Tamandua tetradactyla: one gene and its partner. The protein of the gene in region 1 interacts with the protein of each later gene in a pairwise test. Links are inferred from orthologs where the notes say so. Each region holds a gene or a part of one and is shown on either strand. Other genes may lie near its edges.

What was found.
Region 2: the proteins of PLAA (region 1) and UBXN1 interact in binary tests that used the Homo sapiens proteins (3 or more experiments, as listed by UniProt). The two-hybrid records come from large-scale screens. The link is inferred for Tamandua tetradactyla from reciprocal best matches to the Homo sapiens genes PLAA and UBXN1.

The regions. Positions count from the first base shown.
Region 1 is NC_135328.1:69,354,757-69,364,762, forward strand, and holds the start of PLAA (phospholipase A-2-activating protein), read left to right. Parts: upstream 1-4,126; 5' UTR 4,127-4,536; coding exon 4,537-4,685; intron 4,686-10,006. UniProt on the Homo sapiens protein: Plays a role in protein ubiquitination, sorting and degradation through its association with VCP. Involved in ubiquitin-mediated membrane proteins trafficking to late endosomes in an ESCRT-dependent manner, and hence plays a role in synaptic vesicle recycling.
Region 2 is NC_135335.1:11,895,817-11,905,822, forward strand, and holds UBXN1 (UBX domain-containing protein 1), read left to right. Parts: upstream 1-4,369; 5' UTR 4,370-4,497; intron 4,498-4,603; 5' UTR 4,604-4,635; coding exon 4,636-4,694; intron 4,695-4,833; coding exon 4,834-4,887; intron 4,888-4,988; coding exon 4,989-5,095; intron 5,096-5,179; coding exon 5,180-5,249; intron 5,250-5,487; coding exon 5,488-5,679; intron 5,680-5,773; coding exon 5,774-5,825; intron 5,826-5,985; coding exon 5,986-6,099; intron 6,100-6,602; coding exon 6,603-6,795; intron 6,796-6,960; coding exon 6,961-7,010; 3' UTR 7,011-7,101; downstream 7,102-10,006. Other genes in the region: LRRN4CL (LRRN4 C-terminal-like protein), read left to right, coding at 585-1,304; UQCC3 (ubiquinol-cytochrome-c reductase complex assembly factor 3), read right to left, coding at 9,083-9,235, 9,315-9,434.

The DNA.
Region 1 (10,006 bases):
AAGGTCCACTTAGGTATTATTGACCCGTCAGATTGTCCCATACCAGACTGGCCTCTTCTCAGGAGGAAAGAGTCATCTGCATCAGTTTCTCCTGAGGATGAGACCCAGTGGGTTGAAAATCCTTCCCAGGAAGCCTCTAGACTCTGTGTTTTTCCTGTCCTGTCCAGTATGTGGTGCTTGTCTGCCTGCAGGTCCCACCAGCATAAAGTGATGAAGTTAAGTACCTTTAACTTCAGCAGACTCTTCTTTCTGGAGCATGGTTGATACAGAGAAGAGATTTTAGTCTGACTTTAATGGCTTCAGTTTTCCAGACCCTGGGGGCCTTAATTCCTTGGGCGAGGGATTCCACCTGTGCTGTGCCCCACCCTCTCCTGGGGAAGGCACAGCCTCCAGGGAATTACTTCCTTTCACCTGACCAGCCTCTTTGCCTCTTAGATAAATTTAATTCCACCCTTGCCTGGGGCAGTTGTATCCAAAGAGCAGTCAAGCCATAGAAACACAGCCACATAAAAGAAAACAAAATATAATCCTTTTCAGAGCTGGACCCCCATTCCTTGGGTTTGCCAGTCAAGACCTTAAATTGGTATGTTACTCTCTGTATCTCCAGTCCTATGTGCCCCCTCCTTTCCTTCAGGACCCAGATCCTTTCAAGTATTTTGTGTTGTCCAACCTGAAAAGACCTCTGTTTTTTCTTTTTTCTTTTTCGTTTTTCTGATAGCCCTGTCCCCTCTGTGCCAGGGCAAAAACCAGCAGCCTCAGCTTTTACTGGAGGTTCAGCTAAGCTGAGGTTCTATTTAGTAGTCAGAATTTGTTAATTAATTCCACAACTGGAGATAAGTTGAGCTCAGCCCTTTGCTGTTAGTAAAGTCTTTTTCCCCTCTAGAAGCCAGCCTGTGGGGGAGGGTCACCGGCTGCCGCAGCTTGGGGGTCTCATGATTCTGGGTGGGATTGCAGCTGGTCCAGCTTGTCCAGGCTGGTCACTGATGTGGCCCCAGCTCTTGTTCTGTACTGTCCCTGGCTGTTTACTAACTGCTCTGGAGGACGAACTAAATTCCACACCTCACTAAGCCACCATCTTGGGCCTAACTCCTATTTTCTTGTTGTTCTAGTTTGCTAGCCATCAGAATGCAATATACCGGGACAGGAATGGCTTTTAAAAAGGGAAATTTAATGAGTTGCTAGTTTACAGTTCCAAGGTTGAGAAAATGTCCCAATTCAAGCAAGTCTATAAAAATGTCCAAATTAAGGCACTAAGAAGAGGCCACTTTCACTCAAGGAAGGCTGTCGAAGTTCAGAGTTTCTTTCGCAACTGTAAAGGCACATGGTGAACATGGCTACATCTTCTAGCTTCCCCTCCAGGCCTCTTGCTTCATGAAGCTCCCCTAGGAGCATTTTCCTTCACTTCAAAAGGTCGCTGGTTGGTGGCCTCTGTAGTTCTAGTGTCTCTGCTGCTCTCATCATTCTCAAGCTTTCTCCAAAATGCTTCCTCTTTTAAAGGATTCCAGTAAGGTAATCAAGCCCCACCTGTAATGGGTGGAGTCACCTCTCTATTTAAAAGTTAATACTCACAATTGGGTGAGTCACATCTCTGTGGAGATAACTTAAACAAGTTTCCAACGTACAGTACTGAATAGGGATTAGAAGAAACTCTTACTCCCACAAGATTGATTAGATTAAAACATGGCTTTTCTAGGGTACATAAATCCTTTTAAACTGGTACATTTGCTTTCTTTCCTTTTCCTCCCTCCCTTCCTTCCTTCCTACCTGCCTCACTCCCACCCTTCCTCCCTTCTTTTTTTTTTCTTTTCCCTGCTTTCTTCTTGATCCTGGGTATTTCTTTGTCTGTATAGGGTTATAAAAGCCAAAACTGGTCTTGGAAAAAAATATCTCCTCCAGTTCCTCCTGTAATAAAACACACCTTCTCACCAAAACAAAGAAACTTGTTTCTCTGTTTGATGCAGGATCAGGTGGGCCTAACTATTGAAAACCTCATTTTCTGATGGTAACAATTCTAAGGATTAAATGAGAGACTGTGAAAATTGCCTTTACACTAAATACTGTACAAAGTGGAAAACATTTGCTGAGGACTTGTTATGTGTGAGTCACTAAACTGGATGCTGCGAATTCAAAGGAAAGAAAGCCATTACTGATCCTCAGAAAAATTTAGTCTGATAGGAAAGACAAAGACAGAAATGAATGTATTAGAATACAGTAAATGCTATAACAAAGATACAGGAAATTAGATTGGGTTCCACAGAGAAACCAGAAGGAACCATATGATAATTAAACTGGTGTTGAAATAAGCCAGGTAGAGAAAGAGTGGCATTCCAGTTTAAAAAAGAGAAAAAGAGGATGTACAAAGAGCCTGGAGACATGAAAGAGCATAATATGCTTAGAGAATGGGAGAAATTTAATGTGGCTGGGATAAGGGGTTCAGTAGAGAAAATGGAGGGAGATGAATCTAGTAAAATATTTGGGGAGATAGTGTTAAAGGTCTTGTATACTGTTTAACATAAGAATGGGCAGACATGAGAAGTTATTGAGAAGAGAAAAATTAAATTTAGTTTCTAGAAAGATAATCTTATTTTAATGTGCAGGATTGGTTGGAGAGAAGGGGCAGAAAGGCTAGAGAATGTTGAAATAATTCAAGAGCTAGAGAGTAGTAAAATAATTGACGCAAGAGATAACCAAGGAAGATTTTTGATAGCTGGAAATACAGGTCTGGAGGTATAGCTTTAGAATATGCAAAGTAGTAAATGGTCTACCCAGGGAGAGTAAAATGACAGAAGTTAGGTAGTAAAAGGTCAACATTTCAGAGTTCACGTCAGAGGAACAGAAACCAAAGTAGCAGTGGGCTGCAATCTAAAGAAGTTTCAAGAAGGGAAAGGTCAGAAAAGTGCGTTGGATTTAGTGATTAAGAGGGGTTTGTGGAGAAGTGTACTTGAATGCAAGAGAACAGTGGACAGAATGGTAAGTGGAAATTGGAAATATGGAGACAGGTGATGTATATTTTCCCTATTTAGCACGGTCCATTAAGCAGCAACATTTACTGAGGCTGGTTAAAAATATATATTCACAGCCCGGTGCAGGTTTACAAAATCAGTGTCTGTATTTTAATAAGCCTCTAGAGGATTTAAGCCTGCACATTTGAAAAGAACTGGTGTCTACTGCTGAATTATTCTCTAAACTTGATGGAGGGCAGAAAATGGGATAACAAAGCTGTACCGGTTTGAAAGTATCATGTACTCCAGAAAAGCCATGTCTTAATATTGATTCAATCTTGGAGGAGGAGGGGGCAGTCATTTCTTATAATACTAATTCTCTATTGTACAAAATTCTCTACTTCTGATTTGATTATCTCCATAGAGATGTTACATGTCTAATTGTGGAGATGTGACTCCACCCATTCAAGGTGGGTTTGATTAGTTTCCTAGAACTCTTTAAAAGAGGAAATATTTTGGAGCAATTCAGAAATGACAGAAGCCTCAGAACTGACAGAGAAAGCAGATGTAGATGCTTGGACAAAAGTTGCTTCAGAGAACAGAGATACAGATGTTTGAAGATGTCTGAAGTCCAGCAGACATCATCATGCAATATTAAGCAAGTCAGAACCTAGAAAGAGCCAAGGGAACCCAAGAGATGAAAGCCAGCCCCAGAGAAGCAAAGTGAGGAACCCTCAGAGGAACAGAAGCTGAAAGCAACAGAGCCCAGGAGCAAGGGACCAGCAGATGCCAGCCTCCTGACTACCAGCTGACTTAGGTGTCCAGACACATCACCTCTTATTGGTGCCTTAATTTGGACACTTAAGACTTCCTTAGAACTGTAAATTTGTAATTTATTACATTCCCTCTTTAAAGGTCATTCTGTTTCCGATTTATGAGTTCGGGAAGCATACAACTAACAGAAGGCAAGCGATTAATGGTTCTCAAGATTTCTCGTTGTAACCGAAAAGCAACGTTTAATTAGTGACAATTTCTGTAAGACAGGGAGAGAAGCATTGGGGAAACCGAACTAACCAAATAATCTCACTCCGCCACTCCGCGGTACGCAGCGCAGGACCCCAAGATTTAAAAGAGCGGAACTCGTAGCTCCGGATGCGTATGCCCTACCAGCGCGTGGCATTGTGGGATCTGTAGTCCTGGCTCGCGATTTACAACAAACAGCGCTGCTCCGGGTCGGGAAGGACCCCGGGCTTGGGCGTCTAGGCTGGACAAACAGTGACCTCATCTCTTCCTCCGCTGACGGTCCCAAGCTCTGGAGAGAACCGAGCCTCAGACGGGGGCGCACACGCTTTGCGTCACGGAGGACTGAGGCCGACGATAAATTCCGGTGTGCATGTCAGGGTTGCTGTGTCACTGGGCCTATTCGAGGCGCCCCCTTCCCGCTGCCCTTCCGCACCGGCTTTCGGTCTCTTCCGGTCTCCACCGCCCTCACCTGCAGCTCCCTCTCCCACTGCTGCTCGGCGCAGGCCCGGCATCCCCTGCGGACTGATCTCGCGCGTTATCCGGACCTCGCGGTGCGGGACCGAAGCAGGCCATGGCGAGCGGGGCCGCCAGGTACCGGCTGAGCTGCTCGCTCCGGGGCCACGAGCTGGACGTGCGGGGCCTGGTGTGCTGCCTCTATCCGCCGGGGGCCTTTGTGTCCGTGTCCCGAGACCGCACCACCCGCCTCTGGACCCCAGACAGGTGAGCGCTGCGTGTCGAGCTGCCCCAAACCCTGCCCTCCTCTCTCCTGTCCTCTCCCTCTCTCCTAAACCAGTAAAGTTTCCTTTGCCTGCAACTTGCTCCCTCCCAGGTTTGAGAGCACTGGCTGGCTGAGCATGCAGTGTAAGAAACCAGCGAAATTTAAGTGGATAGATCACATTAGATGGGGGTACCAGAGACCTGCCTTCTTTTCCTAACTTTGCTACTAACGAGTGGGTGTTCTTGGACGAGCCTTTTATTTTGGGGGGCCTTATTTGAAAGTGAGGGACTTCTGGGTTGTGAGCTCCCAAATTTCTTTTAGAGTCGAAGATTTATTGATGCCAGGTGATCCTTCCAAAATGAAACTTTGTGAAAACCCCCGGCATATAATTGCCTCTAGAATTTTTTCTGCAGTTTCCTCTCACATTTAATTTTTGAAAACCTTAGTTGTCAAAAACTGCATTGCAAAAAGTTGCATTGTCGCTTCTAGGTGTGCAGGTGAGAGTATCTTAATCTGGATTTTGTGATGGGCTTGGGAGTAGATGAAACCCTTGAAATATTATGAATATGTGGGGATGTGCTGTTTGCTTGAGAGTGTCCCTTGCTATTAAAAGATTGTTGAAGACTTCGGTGAATCAAAAAAGCTTAACTGCTCTAGTCCAGGTCAGGTTAAGAGGTTCAGCCCTTATTTGGCTGACGGTTGTTGGAAATTTAAGATATAGAAGGCAGATTTTAGTTCAGGGGAAAAAAAAAGAGGTGAACAACTAAAATTGGCATGAGTTACTTTGTCATGTAGCAAATCTCCCGTCACTATAGAGGTTTCATTAAAGGTCACTCAGCGTTTGTGAGACCTTTAATGAGTTCAGCTGAAAACGTCTTCATTGAATGTCTCTTATTTCCTCGTTTTGAGATGGCGACAAGAAATAATAAGATACATAAGGTCCCTGTGTTTATGGGGCTAGCGTATGGTTTGGTAGGGGAAAAGGATCAAAAAACAAGCAAATAATAGTTATAGGTTGACATATATACTTTGTAGAAAACAAATATATCTATAATTAAGGATGCAAGTCTCTTTAAGCTAGCACCTGAAGGATGAGGTGGAGCTGATCATGGAAGTGAGAATGGGGAGAATCATTATGAAAGAGCACTTTTGACAGCAGTAGCAAACATGGAAATATCAGATTAGGAAAGAGGGAAGTTCCTGTGTGACTGGAGGGAAATGAATGGTGAGGTGAGGGCAGGTCTTAGAAGCTGGCAGGAACCATGTCATGCCATAGTATGGGGACTAATGGGAGGGAGGAGAGGAGTATGTAAGGGGAAGCCTTCAAAGAGTTTTAAGCAGGGAGCAGCATGATCTAATTTACCTGCTGAAAAGTTTCTGCTAGCTGCTGGAAGTGTAGAAGCAGATATGTTTGGAGGTTTTTTGGAGTGAGTGCGTCCAAGACATGATTGTAGACTAAATTAGCATTATAGAACAGACTCCTGTATTGAATTGGACAAGATGACTTGTAAAAGTCTCTTCCATTCCAACTCTAAGATTCTATGATATTCCAAACCACTAGTAATACCAGTACCTAATTTTTTGTGTGTATTTGAATACAATTATTAATTAAACATGTACTTTTGAAATTGAGCCTAGTAAAAGAATATTTAATAACAAAGAATGCCTATTGTAGTTGATTCCTCTCATTAAACTTTTACATATTTCGTGGTACTGTGCTAGATTGACAAAGAGTTTAAATCACTGAAGTGGTTGCATTTACCAAGGACTTGAGAACTTTCAGCTGAAATGAGCCTTTATTTGCAAATTGGTTCTTTTCATTTAATTAGTATTGTTTGTTTGTTTTAGTTTTCAAAATTCATTCCTGTATTTATTGTACTAACACCTACTGAAAGCCTGCATTGTATCAGGCACAGTGCTAGATAGTAGATGATGTGAAAGTTAGCAAGATAAGACTTTTAACCTCATTTCCAACTGCTCAGGTTAAGAAGTCTCAGAGTCCCTGGGTAATGGACGGCTTGTGCATCCCATCTAGAGTATCCTAATCATATCTTCAGTGTTGTGACAAGTGTCATCAAGACGATAGCCTGACAATTTTTATTTCATGTTGTATTAATAAAGTTGATGATGTCCTATAAAATGTTCGGAGACAAGTAGTAAATGAAATTTGTTTTCCTATGTATATTGTTGATGTGTTTCTAGATCAGGGTAGTAAGTATAGGGATGAACTGGGAATGATGGAATTTGGTTTCAGCAAAGCAGAAATAGTCTATTCTAGGATAGACTAACCTGGATACCTAGTATTGCATAAACCACTGAAAACCCAAACAGTCTCTGAACTTCCAAAGTTCCTTCAGAATGGAGAGACATAAGTTTTTTTTTTTTTTTTAATTAACGGAAAGAAAAAAAAATTAACACAACATTTAGAAATCATTCCATTCTACATATGCAATCAGTAATTCTTAATATCATCATATAGATGTATGATCATCATTCCTTAGTACATTTGCATCGATTTAGGAAAAGAACTAGCAAAACAACAGAAAAAGATACAGAATGTTAATATAGAGAAAAAATAAAATAATAATAATAATAATAAAAAATAAAAAAATTTATATAAAAAAGGAAAAAGAAAAAACAAAAGACACAAACAAACAAACAAAAAAACTATAGCTCAGATGCAGCTTCATTCAGTGTTTTAACATAATTACATTACAATTAAGTATTATTGTGCGGTCCATTTTTGAGTTTTTGTATCTAGTCCTGTTGCACAGTCTGTATCCCTTCAGCTCCAATTACCCATTATCCTACCCTGTTTCTAACTCCTGCTGGTCTCTGTTACCAATGACATATTCCAAGTTTATTCTCTAATGTCGGTTCACATCAGTGGGACCATACAGTATTTGTCCTTTAGTTTTGGCTAGACTCACTCAACATAATGTTTTCTAGGTTCATCCATGTTATTACATGCTTCATAGGTTTATTCTGTCTTAAAGCTGCATAATATTCCATCGTATGTATATACCACAGTTTGTTTAGCCACTCGTCTGTTGATGGAGATTTCGGCTGTTTCCATCTCTTTGCAATTGTAAATAATGCTGCTATAAACATTGGTGTGCAAATGTCCGTTTGTGTCTTTGCCCTTAAGTCCTTTGAGTAGATACCTAGCAATGGTATTGCTGGGTCGTATGGCAATTCTATATTCAGTTTTTTGAAGAACCGCCAAACTGCCTTCCACAGTGGTTGCACCATTTGACATTCCCACCAACAGTGGATAAGTGTGCCTCTTTCTCCGCATCCTCTCCAGCACTTGTCATTTTCTGTTTTGTTGATAATGGCCATTCTGGTGGGTGTGAGATGATATCTCATTGTGGTTTTGATTTGCATTTCTCTAATGGCCAGGGACATTGAGCATCTCTTCATGTGCCTTTTGGCCCTTTGTATTTCCTCTTCTGGTAAGTGTCTGTTCAAGTCTTTTTCCCATTTTGTAATTGGGTTGGCTGTCTTTTTGTTGTTGAGTTGAACAATCTCTTTATAAATTCTGGATACTAGACCTTTATCTGATATGTCATTTCCAAATATTGTCTCCCATTGTATAGGCTGTCTTTCTACTTTCTTGATGAAGTTCTTTGATGCACAAAAGTGTTTAATTTTGAGGAGCTCCCATTTATTTATTTCCTTCTTCAGTGCTCTTGCTTTAGGTTTAAGGTCCATAAAACCGCCTCCAATTGTAAGTTTCATAAGATATCTCCCTACATTTTCCTCTGTTTTATGGTCTTAGATCTAATGTTTAGATCTTCGATCCATTTTGAGTTAACTTTTGTATAGGGTGTGAGATACGGGTCCTCTTTCATTCTTTTGCATATGGATATCCAGTTCTCTAGGCACCATTTATTGAAGAGACTGTTCTGTCCCAGGTGAATTGGCTTGACTGCCTTATCAAAGATCAAATGTCCGTAGATGAGAGGGTCTATTTCTGAGCACTCTATTCGATTCCATTGGTCGATATATCTATCTTTATGCCAATACCATGCTGTTTTGACCACTGTGGCTTCATAATATGCCTTAAAGTCCTGCTGCGTGAGACCTCCAGCTTCGTTTTTTTTCCTCAAGATACTTTTAACAATTCGGGGCACCCTGCCCTTCCAGATAAATTTGCTTATTGGTGTTTCTGTTTCTGAAAAATAAGTTGTTGGGATTTTGATTGGTATTGCATTGAATCTGTAAATCAATTTAGGTAGGATTGACATCTTAACTATATTTAGTCTTCCAATCCATGAACACGGTATGCCCTTCCATCTATTTAGGTCTTCTGTGATTTCTTTTAACAGTTTTTTGTAGTTTTCTTTGTATAGATGTTTTGTCTCTTTAGTTAAATTTGTTCCTAGGTATTTTATTCTTTTAGTTGCAATTGTAAATGGAATTTGTTTCTTGATTTCCCCCTCAGCTTGTTCATTGCTCGTGTATAGAAATGCTACAGATTTTTGAATGTTGATCTTGTAACCTGCTACTTTGCTGTACTCATTTATTAGCTCTAGTAGTTTTGTTGTGGATTTTTCCGGGTTTTCGACGTATAGTATCATATCATCTGCAAACAGTGATAGTTTTACTTCTTCCTTTCCAATTTTGATGCCTTGTATTTCTTTTTCTTGTCTAATTGCTCTGGCTAGAACCTCCAACACGATGTTGAATAATAGTGGTGATAATGGACATCCTTGTCTTGTTCCTGATCTTAGGGGGAAAGTTTTCAATTTTTCCCCATTGAGGATGATATTAGCTGTGGGTTTTTCATATATTCCCTCTATCATTTTAAGGAAGTTCCCTTGTATTCCTATCTTTTGAAGTGTTTTCAACAGGAAAGGATGTTGAATCTTGTCAAATGCCTTCTCTGCATCAATTGAGATGATCATGTGATTTTTCTGCTTTGATTTGTTGATATGGTGTATTACATTAATTGATTTTCTTATGTTGAACCATCCTTGCATACCTGGGAAGAATTCTACTTGGTCATGATGTATAACTCTTTTAATGTGTTGTTGGATTCGATTTGCTAGAATTTTGTTGAGGATTTTTGCATCTATATTCATTAGAGAGATTGATCTGTAGTTTTCTTTTTTTGTAATATCTTTGCCTGGTTTTGATATGAGGGTGATGTTGGCTTCATAGAATGCATTATGTAGCTTTCCCTCCACTTCGATTTTTTTAAAGAGGTGAGGAGAGTTGGTACTAATTCTTTCTGGAATGTTTGGTAGAATTCACATGTGAAGCCATCTGGTCCTGGACTTTTCTTGTTAGGAAGCTTTTGAATGACTGATTCAGTTTC
Region 2 (10,006 bases), on another chromosome or scaffold:
AGCCTTACCCACCGGTGAGGGGCTGCCGTGGGCCTGGGAGGAGTGGGGAGAGGTGAGAGATGGGCAGGGGCCCGGGTACCCTGGACGGGATGGGGTCCAAAGCAGGTGGGGAGCGAGGATCCCAGGGCCCTTACTTCCCTCCCCTTTCCATCTTTTCCTCACTTCTCACTCTGCCTCCTCTCTGGGTTACACATAGGTTATTGGCTGATATTTGTTTGCCTAAGCTCTTTTTTCTGGAAATTATTCTCTTCACTGGGCTGAGTCCATCAGTGCCACCTTTCCCCCAGCACCTTGCTTGTTCATTAACTGTTTCACCCACTCCGTGCATCGCTGGTCTCACGTCTTCTCTGATCCTCTCGTGTAGCAGACCATATTTTATTCTTTCCCATCCCAAACCAAGGCACACTGTCTGGATTCAGAGGTCGGGGGACAAAGAAATGTGTCTGTCTCATTCCCACCTCTCTGTTATTCCCATCTCGGCCCCTACTTGCGCTTCCCCATCTGCAGAGGTTCGGTTGGCCCAGAGGCCCTGGAAAGCATGGGGGTGAACCCTTCCCCACTCACCTCCTTCCTTTCCAGACCCCATGTCGGGCTCTCCCCATCATCTGTATCTGTGGCTCCTGGCTGTGACTCTCTCCTTGGTTCCTGGAGCCCAGCCCTTGGCTCCTCGAGATTTCCAGGAAGAGGAGGAAAATGAGACCCTGTGGTCACCTTTGCCACCTGTCCCCTGCGACTATGACCGCTGCCGCCACCTGCAGGTGCCCTGCCACGAGCTGCAGCAGGCTGGACCCACCGCTTGCCTGTGCCCAGGGCTCTCCAGCCCTGCCCAGCCGCCTGACCCGCCACGCCTGGGGGAAGTACAAACAGTGGCCGAGGAGGGCCGCGCCGTCATCCGGTGGTGTGCCCCCTTCTCCCCGGTCCACCAATACTGGCTGCTGCTTTCGGAAGGCAGCAGGGCTCCCCAGCAGGGCGCGCCCCTGAATTCGACCGTCCGAAAAGCAGAACTGAACGGACTGAACCCCGGGGGTGCTTATGTCGTTTGCGTGGTGGCTTCCAACGACGCCGGAGAAAGCACAGTGCCCAAGGCAGGAAGGGAGGGCCTTGAGGTGGCAGGAGACCCTGCCTTCGGGCCTTGCGGCCGGTTCACCATGCCCCCCAGACCCCTCACCCTGATCCATGCGGCCGTGGGGGTGGGCACAGCCCTGGCCCTGCTCAGCTGCTCAGCCCTGGTCTGGCACTTCTACCTGCGCCAGCACTGCGGCTGCCCCCGGCGAGGGGCCATACAAGCCCAGCAGAGGCTCTGAAAGGGACCTGGGGAGCATATCCTGCAAAGCCAAGCTTCTACCTGGAGAGCTTGGCCCCAGATCCAGGGCAGGAGCTGGTGAGGGCCCGGCTGCTGCCCTGCTCAGGCTGGACGGCGGGGCAGAAAGCCACCCACTGAGCTGGGAGCCCTAGAGCGGACTCTCAGATCTCTACTCTGAAAGCTTGCTTAGATTCCAGACTTCGCTTGAATTCTGATTCAAGTTTAGGAGGGACCATAGAGGGTCAGTGCTTTTCTCATAAAGGGCCAGATAATAACTAATTCCGGCTTTGCGGTGGTCCAGGAGGACAAAAATCCCAGATATTATGCTCATACTCGTATAAGCATGTAACATGTAGCCATTGAAAATGTCAAAAGAAAAAAAACATTCTTAGCGGGTGGGCCTTACAAATCAGACCTGGGATCCGGCTGTAGTTAGTCCACCCCCATCATAGGCCTTCAGATGGGGTCTGGGGTCTGCCACTTTACGTGGCGTCCATGGCATATTGAGAATAAGCTTCAGGAGGTTGGGAGTTTGGGGCCACCCTCTTCTCCTTCGGCCTTTTGTTTAATTATTGAGGATGAACATACCTGTATCAGAGTCCACCCGTGTCTGCTGATGGTGGAAATAAATGACTGACATGGAGTGGAGAATAAAGGATGGCCCAGCTGCTATTTGTGACCAGCCTGCATCTCAACTGGTAAAATCCCCACACTACTGTACACCCACTGTATGCCCCTTATAACAACATTAAAGGAAACTAGAAGACATTTTCATTTTTTGGATGATCTTTTCAATTCCCTATTCATATAACTGTTTCTTTTCAGAGTAAGTAGACATACTTTTGATTTTATTTTTAAATTAATTGGATGTAGAAAAATCTGTTTTATGCTGCTACGTGGTATAAGCCTCACTTTTACTCATTGCGTGTATACATATGTGTATGCATATTTAATTATAAGTGATACTTATAGAAATTTCAAGTAAAATCAAAGAGTATAAAGTGAAAGTTCTCAGAGTAGACTTTTCTCTCTTCAATGAGAGTATTACCTTTTATTGGTAATATTAAATATTAAATATTACCAATTGGAAATATTAAATTATGTTGTCCATTCCATCTTGGTAAATCAGAGCTTCCCTAGTTATGTCAAAAGCTGCCCAGCTTTCCATAAGAGAATGCTCCCTAAGTGACTTTAGGCATCGCTCTTTATTAAAACATTTGACGCCTCCAGTGTTTGTCATGGACATGCTTGTCTCTGTACCCTTGCATGTTTGTGTGAGTATTTCTGTATAGACTTGCCTGGAAGTAGGTCAAAGAAGCAGGACGATAAAATTTAACTTATTATTGGACCTTTAGAATAAATTTAGAATACATTTCTTATCTAGAATACACTCATCACACTGCAGTGAATACTTTGTGCCTTTAAATAAAATTCCTGTATTTCCTCAGCACTGATTGATGAATCACTAGAGGGTCTGCTATCTCATTATTATGCAAGACATACTTTACGAGCATTCTCATTTAATTTTCACCATAATCATCCCAGGAAATGGTCTCACCTTTTCACAGATGAGAAACCCGGGGTTTCTAAATGGTTTGAAGTCACAACTAAGGAGGTCAGCTAGAATTCCGGTCCATACTTTCAAAGCTGATGCTTATCACTCCACCATACAGTGGTGGCCTAGTGAAGGCAGGCTGCTTGGGCTTGAGTCCTAGTTCTGCTACTTATTTGCTTTGAGAACTTAGGCAAATTATCTTATTGTTCTTTGTCTCAGTTTCCAGTGACTAATACTAGTACCTACATCATAGTGAGTTTATGATGATTCTATTCAGTCCCTAGGTCATAATATATTATCAATATCGGTAACTGTTATTGCTGTGCCTCCTGACAAACATTTAAAGTCTGCTTCCTTTGTAGCAGGTGTTGTGTGCAATAAAGGCAGCTCCACCTTCAAGGATCCAACAGGTTAAGTAATGGTGGAGGGCTAATTAATCAACAATGACTAGTAACAAGAGGATAAAAGTTTAATGAGGTGTAAAGAGTGGAGCTGGGACGCCTGGGAAGCTGTTTCAAACCAGCCTTCCCTTAGAAAGCAAACCTTGAGTTAAGTCAGGACAAACGAGGACAGGGAATTAACCTAGTCTAGAGAAGAGGTAAGGCATCCCAGATGAAGAGGCTAGAGTGTGTAAAGGTCAGGAGGAAGAGATTCTGTTTTGCAATATGAACGTTACCCTCAAGTGGTGGGAGATGAAACTGTGTAATAATTTACACCAACATTTACACTGTACTCTCTTGATGGCACCTATTGTTAACCCCACTTTACAGATGGGACCCTAAAAAAAAAGGGGGGCATGGTGACGGAGGCACACCTTCGTGAAGGTAATTGACACCCCTGAATTATATATTTGAAAATGGGATAAAAACGGGAAATTTTAGGTTGCATATAACACACACACATACACCCATAGAAGTGTGCAACACAAGAGTAAATCATAACATAAACAGTGGGCTAAAGTTAATAGCATAACTATATTGTTTCATCAATTGTAAAAGAAGTGCCACATTAATACAAAATGTCAATAGAGAAAACTGTGTGTGAGAAGGGGGGTTCTGTAGAAACTCTACTTTCTGCATGACTTTTCTGTAAACCTGTAACTGCTCCAATCAAAAAAAAAAAAAAGTGGGGCAGGAGAAAGCAAGAGCACAAGCATTTGTTTTGTCCTAGGTATGTGGGGTGTCACGGGGAAGTTATAAGCAGGGAGGTGATGACAGGATCAGATATTGTGTTTTGCAAAAATCCCTCTGGCAGCTGGGCGGAGAAGAGCTCAACTCCCAGGAGAGGATCAGTGGGTCAAAGTGTGTGCACATTTCTATGGCTAACCCTGCCAAGTAATACACCAATTGATTGCGCTCAGGGGCCATATGCTTTCTAATTTCTAAAAAGGAGGGTAAGGGAGCGTTACGCCGCGGGATCGCACGTCCTAACGTCCGAGCGTTTCAAAACCGCAGCGCCCCCACCACCGCCTCCCGCTAGCAACTCCCACGCGCTGCGGGTCTGGTGGGCCAGACACGTGTTTTCTGCCTCTTCTCGGCACCCGTCCACGCCCGCCCTCCACGTGACCCAAACAGATCCGGGCACTTCCGTTTCCCCTCGGCTTTCTTCTCGTCGGTATCCGCGGTGGGTCCAGAGCCGGGTAAGTAAGGGAGATTCTTGGTCGGGGACAAGGGGAACGGAATTGGGCGCGGGCCGGGGGTGTCCCGTGCAGATCCCACCTACCCCTGCGCTACTCGTTCCCTTAGGTCCCCGCGGAGGCGGCGGCGGCGGCGGCGCCATGGCGGAGTTGACGGCTCTGGAGAGTCTCATCGAGATGGGCTTCCCCAGGGGACGCGCGTAAGGGAGTCCCCCTAACCCCAGGCTGCGGGGAACGTGGACGTGTCCCGGTCTTTACCCCCGTCCGGTCTCAGGCCTGCGCCCCTGCCTGCCCGTCACCATGGCTCATGGGCGCTATTCCCGGTGTTTCTGCCCTCAGGGAGAAGGCTCTAGCCCTCACAGGGAACCAGGGCATCGAGGCTGCAATGGACTGGTGAGTACCCAGACCGGGTGGCAGGGAGTTAGGGGGAAGGGGCGAAGGGGGGAAGGGGCGGCCGCCTCACCGTTAACCTCCCTCCCGACTCTTCCTGTTAGGCTGATGGAACACGAAGATGACCCCGATGTGGACGAGCCTCTAGAGACCCCCCTTGGACATATTCTGGGCCGGGAAGCCACCTCCTCGGAGGAAGGTGGCCCTGAAGGTCCTGACTGGGGGTATAGTGTGGTTATTCAGGAGGGTCTGGGGACGATCTGAAGTGGTAATAATACTGCTTGCTTGTTTGTAGTGCCTGGGTCTGCTGCAGGAGAAGGCAAACCTGCTTTGAGTGAAGAAGAAAGACAGGAACAGACTAAAAGGTACAGTAAGGGACAGCTTCCCATTTTTAAGGGTTGTCTTCAACCTCTCCCCAATACACAGTCTGGTCATAGAACCTTGGACTTTCCCTTCACATTCCTTCTGTCCTTTCTTGGCATTTTCCTTTGGTTTCTTTCATCTATCCTGGGACACATGTTCCCTGATTTTGTTTTCCTTGTCATAAACTCACCTTCCCACACTACTATCCATTTCTCTTGAGCACTTAACTTTCTGCCCCAGGATGTTGGAGCTGGTGGCCCAGAAGCAGCGGGAACGTGAAGAGAGAGAGGAGCGGGAGGCATTGGAACGGGAACGGCAGCGCAGGAGACAAGGGCAGGAGTTGTCAGCTGCCCGACAGCGGCTACAGGAAGATGAGATGCGCCGTGCTGCTGAGGAAAGGAGGAGGGAAAAGGCTGAAGAGTTAGCAGCCAGGTCTGCGTGATGGGGATGTTGGATAAGAGATGAGAAGGGAATCAGGATTTGCTTTATCCCTGTCTGACCTACTTTTTTCTTTTCTATATTCCAGACAAAGAGTTCGAGAAAAGATTGAAAGGGACAAAGCAGAGAGAGCCAAGAAGGTGGGTGTTTAGAAAGACACAGGGGTGGGGTGGGGGATGGTATTGGAGTAGGTGGGCTAGGAAATCCCCTTTCGAGCTTCAGAGGAAAAAGGTGGACTTGTATGATGTTTCTCCTTAGGGTGGATGAGTGTCTAATGGAATATTTTACTTTATCCTTTAGTATGGTAGCATGGGTACTCGGCCATCCCCACCAGCAGCAGAGCCAGGTCCTGTTCCCTCCTCTCCCAGCCAGGAGCCTCCCACCAAGCGGGAGTATGACCAGTGTCGTATACAGGTACTGATTCTGATTCTTGTCTTACTCTTGGGACCCTTTCCTTGATCTGTAAGGTGCCCAGTTCAGAGCTTTTTTCAGTTATGTTCCCTTTGCCAAACCTTTCCCTTCTTTGTAAATGACTTTGAAATCCAATCTCCTCCACTCTTAGGAAGGAGATCAAATTTCACTTGTCCTGATGTTATTTAAATGCATACTTCCCTCTTGCTCAGCAATTACCGGTTAACTTGTTTACATTTCCGTTTGGCTTATTACACAGCTTATGTGAGTAATGTGGTGATTTACCTACATATTTTTGTATAATCATGTGTGGTAGGTGGGAGTGTCTTTATTTTCATTGCTTGGTAAAGCACAGTGTAAGTGGTTGTTCATTAGGTGCTTTAAATAGTAATTTTGCTGGTTCAGTTGCTCTAGGATGCAAGAGCCAGCTTTAGTTGTTCTGTTCTTTTCCTTGGGCACCTCACTTAGTTTTGACCCTGATACCATACGTCTCCCTTACCTTCTAGGTCAGGCTGCCAGATGGTACTTCACTGACCCAGACATTCCGGGCCCGGGAACAGCTGGCAGCCGTGAGGCTGTATGTGGAGCTTCACCGTGGAGAGGAACCTGGAGGGGGCCAGGACCCTGTGCAGTTGCTCAGTGGCTTCCCTCGGCGAGCCTTCTCAGAGGCTGACATGGAACGGCCTCTGCAGGAGCTGGGTATGGAACATGGGACCAGAAACTAGGGCTTGAAGGATGGGGCGTATGACTGAGAAAGTTAAGAGATGTAGTGAGAAGGGATTTTGGAGATGGTACAAGGCCAGGAAATTTTAGCACAAAGAGAAGATATCTTTGTGGCTCAAACTTGTTTTCTTCCATCTTCAGGACTTGTGCCTTCTGCTGTCCTCATCGTGGCCAAAAAATGTCCCAGCTGAGGGGCCTTTATTCCACCATCCCTCTCTGACCTCTTCATCTTTGATAAAGCACTGACATCCCCTTCCTAATAAATAGACCCTCTGAATTCTATATGTGCCCGACTCCTTCCTGAATGGATGAGGGGACAAAACTGAGGCAGAGGTAGAAGTTAAAATGAAGGCATTTGGAGTAGATCCTCTTCCTCTTTAGTCTCTAACAAAAGACACTTGTTTCTAACCTCTGGGTCTGATTAGCTGCTGGGGAGACTGAGAAGGAGAGGTGCTGGAGGGTGGGAAGTAGACTGGATAGTGCTTTTTGCTCCTGTGGGTAAGAGGCAGTGCATAAGCTTGAAATATTGATTCTGCCACTAGCTATGTGCTTTGATTTTTTTAAGCATCGGTTTTTCTTTACTAAGATATTTAAAAAGTACCTGATTCTTAGGGTTGTTTTGAGGGATACGTAATGCTGGTATAAGGTACTTTTTGTACAGCATCTGCACCAAATAAGTCCTCAATTAGTATAATTTCTAACAGAGAAATTTAAGTATGGACATACTCAAGAACGTTGAGAGAGAGAAACATAAGGGTGACCTTTGCAGCTGCATCTTTTCTGCTGTAAGAGTACATCGCAACCAAGCCAGGTGCTTTTCCTAATAACACTTAAAAGTGTTGATTACTTAATATGTACCACATACAGTTTTAAGTGCTTTGTGTGTATTAACAGGGATAGGAAAGCACTGTTATCTAGGTAAAGGTACAATATTCTAGAGCTTAGGACAGCAAAGCATATAATTTGCCCAAACTGACAGAGCTAGCAAGTAGAACCTGGACACACACCTAGGGAGCCCCTGACCCCAGGGCTTAGGCTTTGAACTGCCAGGTACTCCCATGGTGACCCTTCTCAGTGCTGCTCATAATGCACCGTAGTGTTCCCACAAACACCTGCTGATCCTCTAATTCCTGGGCAGGGGCAGGCAGTTATACTGTAAAGATTGCACATAAAAGTATGTTTGGCTTAAAACTCAACCATCAAGCAGCTGAATACATCAGTGGTCACAGATGGGTTATACCTCACCATGCTTTATTTGGGAAAAGCAGACTTTTTAATGAAAATCTTGTTTAGAACTACAGTAGATAAAATGGACAAAAGGAGGAGAGACTTGACTTGGTATAGGGCCAGAGATTATCTCACATCCTCAGTGGCATCCAACAGATCCTATGGCTGGATTCACAGACTGGAAACTACTGTGGTGAAAATGTTTGAAGGAAAAAAAACAACACAAAACCAACCATTACCTTCACTGACAGCTCACTCTGTGCCAGTCGCTGCACTTCACGTTTCTAAATTCTTTTAACAACAAAACTTAATCTAGAGTTACCATGGTTCATCCAGCAGGATTGAGGTGCAGAGGTTTTGTGATATGCTGGAGTTGAACAAAGATCTGACCTAAGAGCAAAGCATGTTTCTTTCACTCCTAGCAAGTCAGCCTCTCTAAAGAGTGCCTTATTAGCCAGAGGTGAAATGGGGCATGTAACGGCCACAGAGGGCATCATGACATTCAAGTTCTAGATGCCCTCCAGCCCTATCTGGCTCATAGGACAGGAGCCCAGCCTGTCCTCTACATGGAGTCCACCGGACAGGATGTTCCAGGATAGTTCTGATCTCAAAGCGCTGCTTGGTTACTCCGGGAAGTACACTTAAGTTTGTGCCATACGACTTGACAGTGTTTTGAAAACGTGGTCGCTACTCCCATTGGACTTCAGCCTCACACATGCGGGGCGGGGCTGGTGGGATCCGCAGTCACCGGCGTCGGACCAACGAACCCACAGCTCAAGGAATCTAGACGTCATCCGCATACCGCAAGGCTCACTCTCTGGATGGGGGAAAGTGATTTATTGGTGCTCTCAGTTCTCCACACCCGATTCCTGGCTCTGCGGTCCCAGCGAGGCGGGAGGTGGGTGTGGGAGGGGTAATGTGCTCACCCTGTCGGTGGCTGCTCCCGGGGCACCAAACACAGAGTTGCGACGCCCCGCCGGTCCGCGGAGCAGAAAGGCCGCTTCAGCCTCCTGAGCCCACCCGGGCAGGTCCTGGCTCATGCCGACCTCCCACTGCCGCCGCCCTCCATCCAGTTCTTCCTCCAGGCCACGTTCTCCTGCGTGGCGGCTGCCTCCTGCAGCGTGGACAGCAGCAGCTCCTGGGTCCTGGCCGCCTCGTCCCGGCGCTGCGGATACTTCTCCGGTATCTCCTGCGGGCAAGGAGCAAGGTTCGCAGAGCCCGGCGCTCTCCGCCCGCCCATCCCACTAAGGGACCCCAGTTAATCCCACCTTCAGCATCGTCTGCTTCCGCTGCTCCCCCGGGGTCACGAGGACAAAGAGCGCAGAGCCCACGCCGGCTCCCACGCCCAGCAACGCGCCAACGACCAGAGCCTTCTGCAGGACCCCCATGGCCGACCGCGCAACCAGAGAGGCGTCTTGGGAAGCCTCCCGCAGCCTAGAGAGTAGCCGCCGACCGTCATTCCTTGCGCGGGCTAGAGCGCCCTATGTCGGAAACCATAGAGAAGGGGCCAGGCTAGAGAGGACTTGGGTGTCCAGAAGCTTGGGGTCTAGAGGGCTTGTGTCTTAAAAATAGGAGGGTTCTTAGGACAGATAAATCCTGGAACTCAGAGGACCAGCCTCTCCAAGATGATCAATTAATAATCTTTTTTTATTAATTAAAAAAATTAACACAACATTTAGAAATCTTTCCATTCTACGTATACAATCAGTAATTCTTAATATCACATATCTTGTGATATTAAGTAATTCTTAATATCACAAGAAATAGAAAGACAACAGAAAAGAAATAAAACGATAAGAGAAAAAAATTATTTAAAAAATTAAAAAATAATAATAAAAAACTATACGTCAGATGCAGCTTCATTCAGTGTTTTAACATAATTACATTACAATTAGGTAGTATTGTGCTGTCCATTTCTGAGTTTTTGTATCCAATCTTGTTGCACAGTCTGTATCCCTTC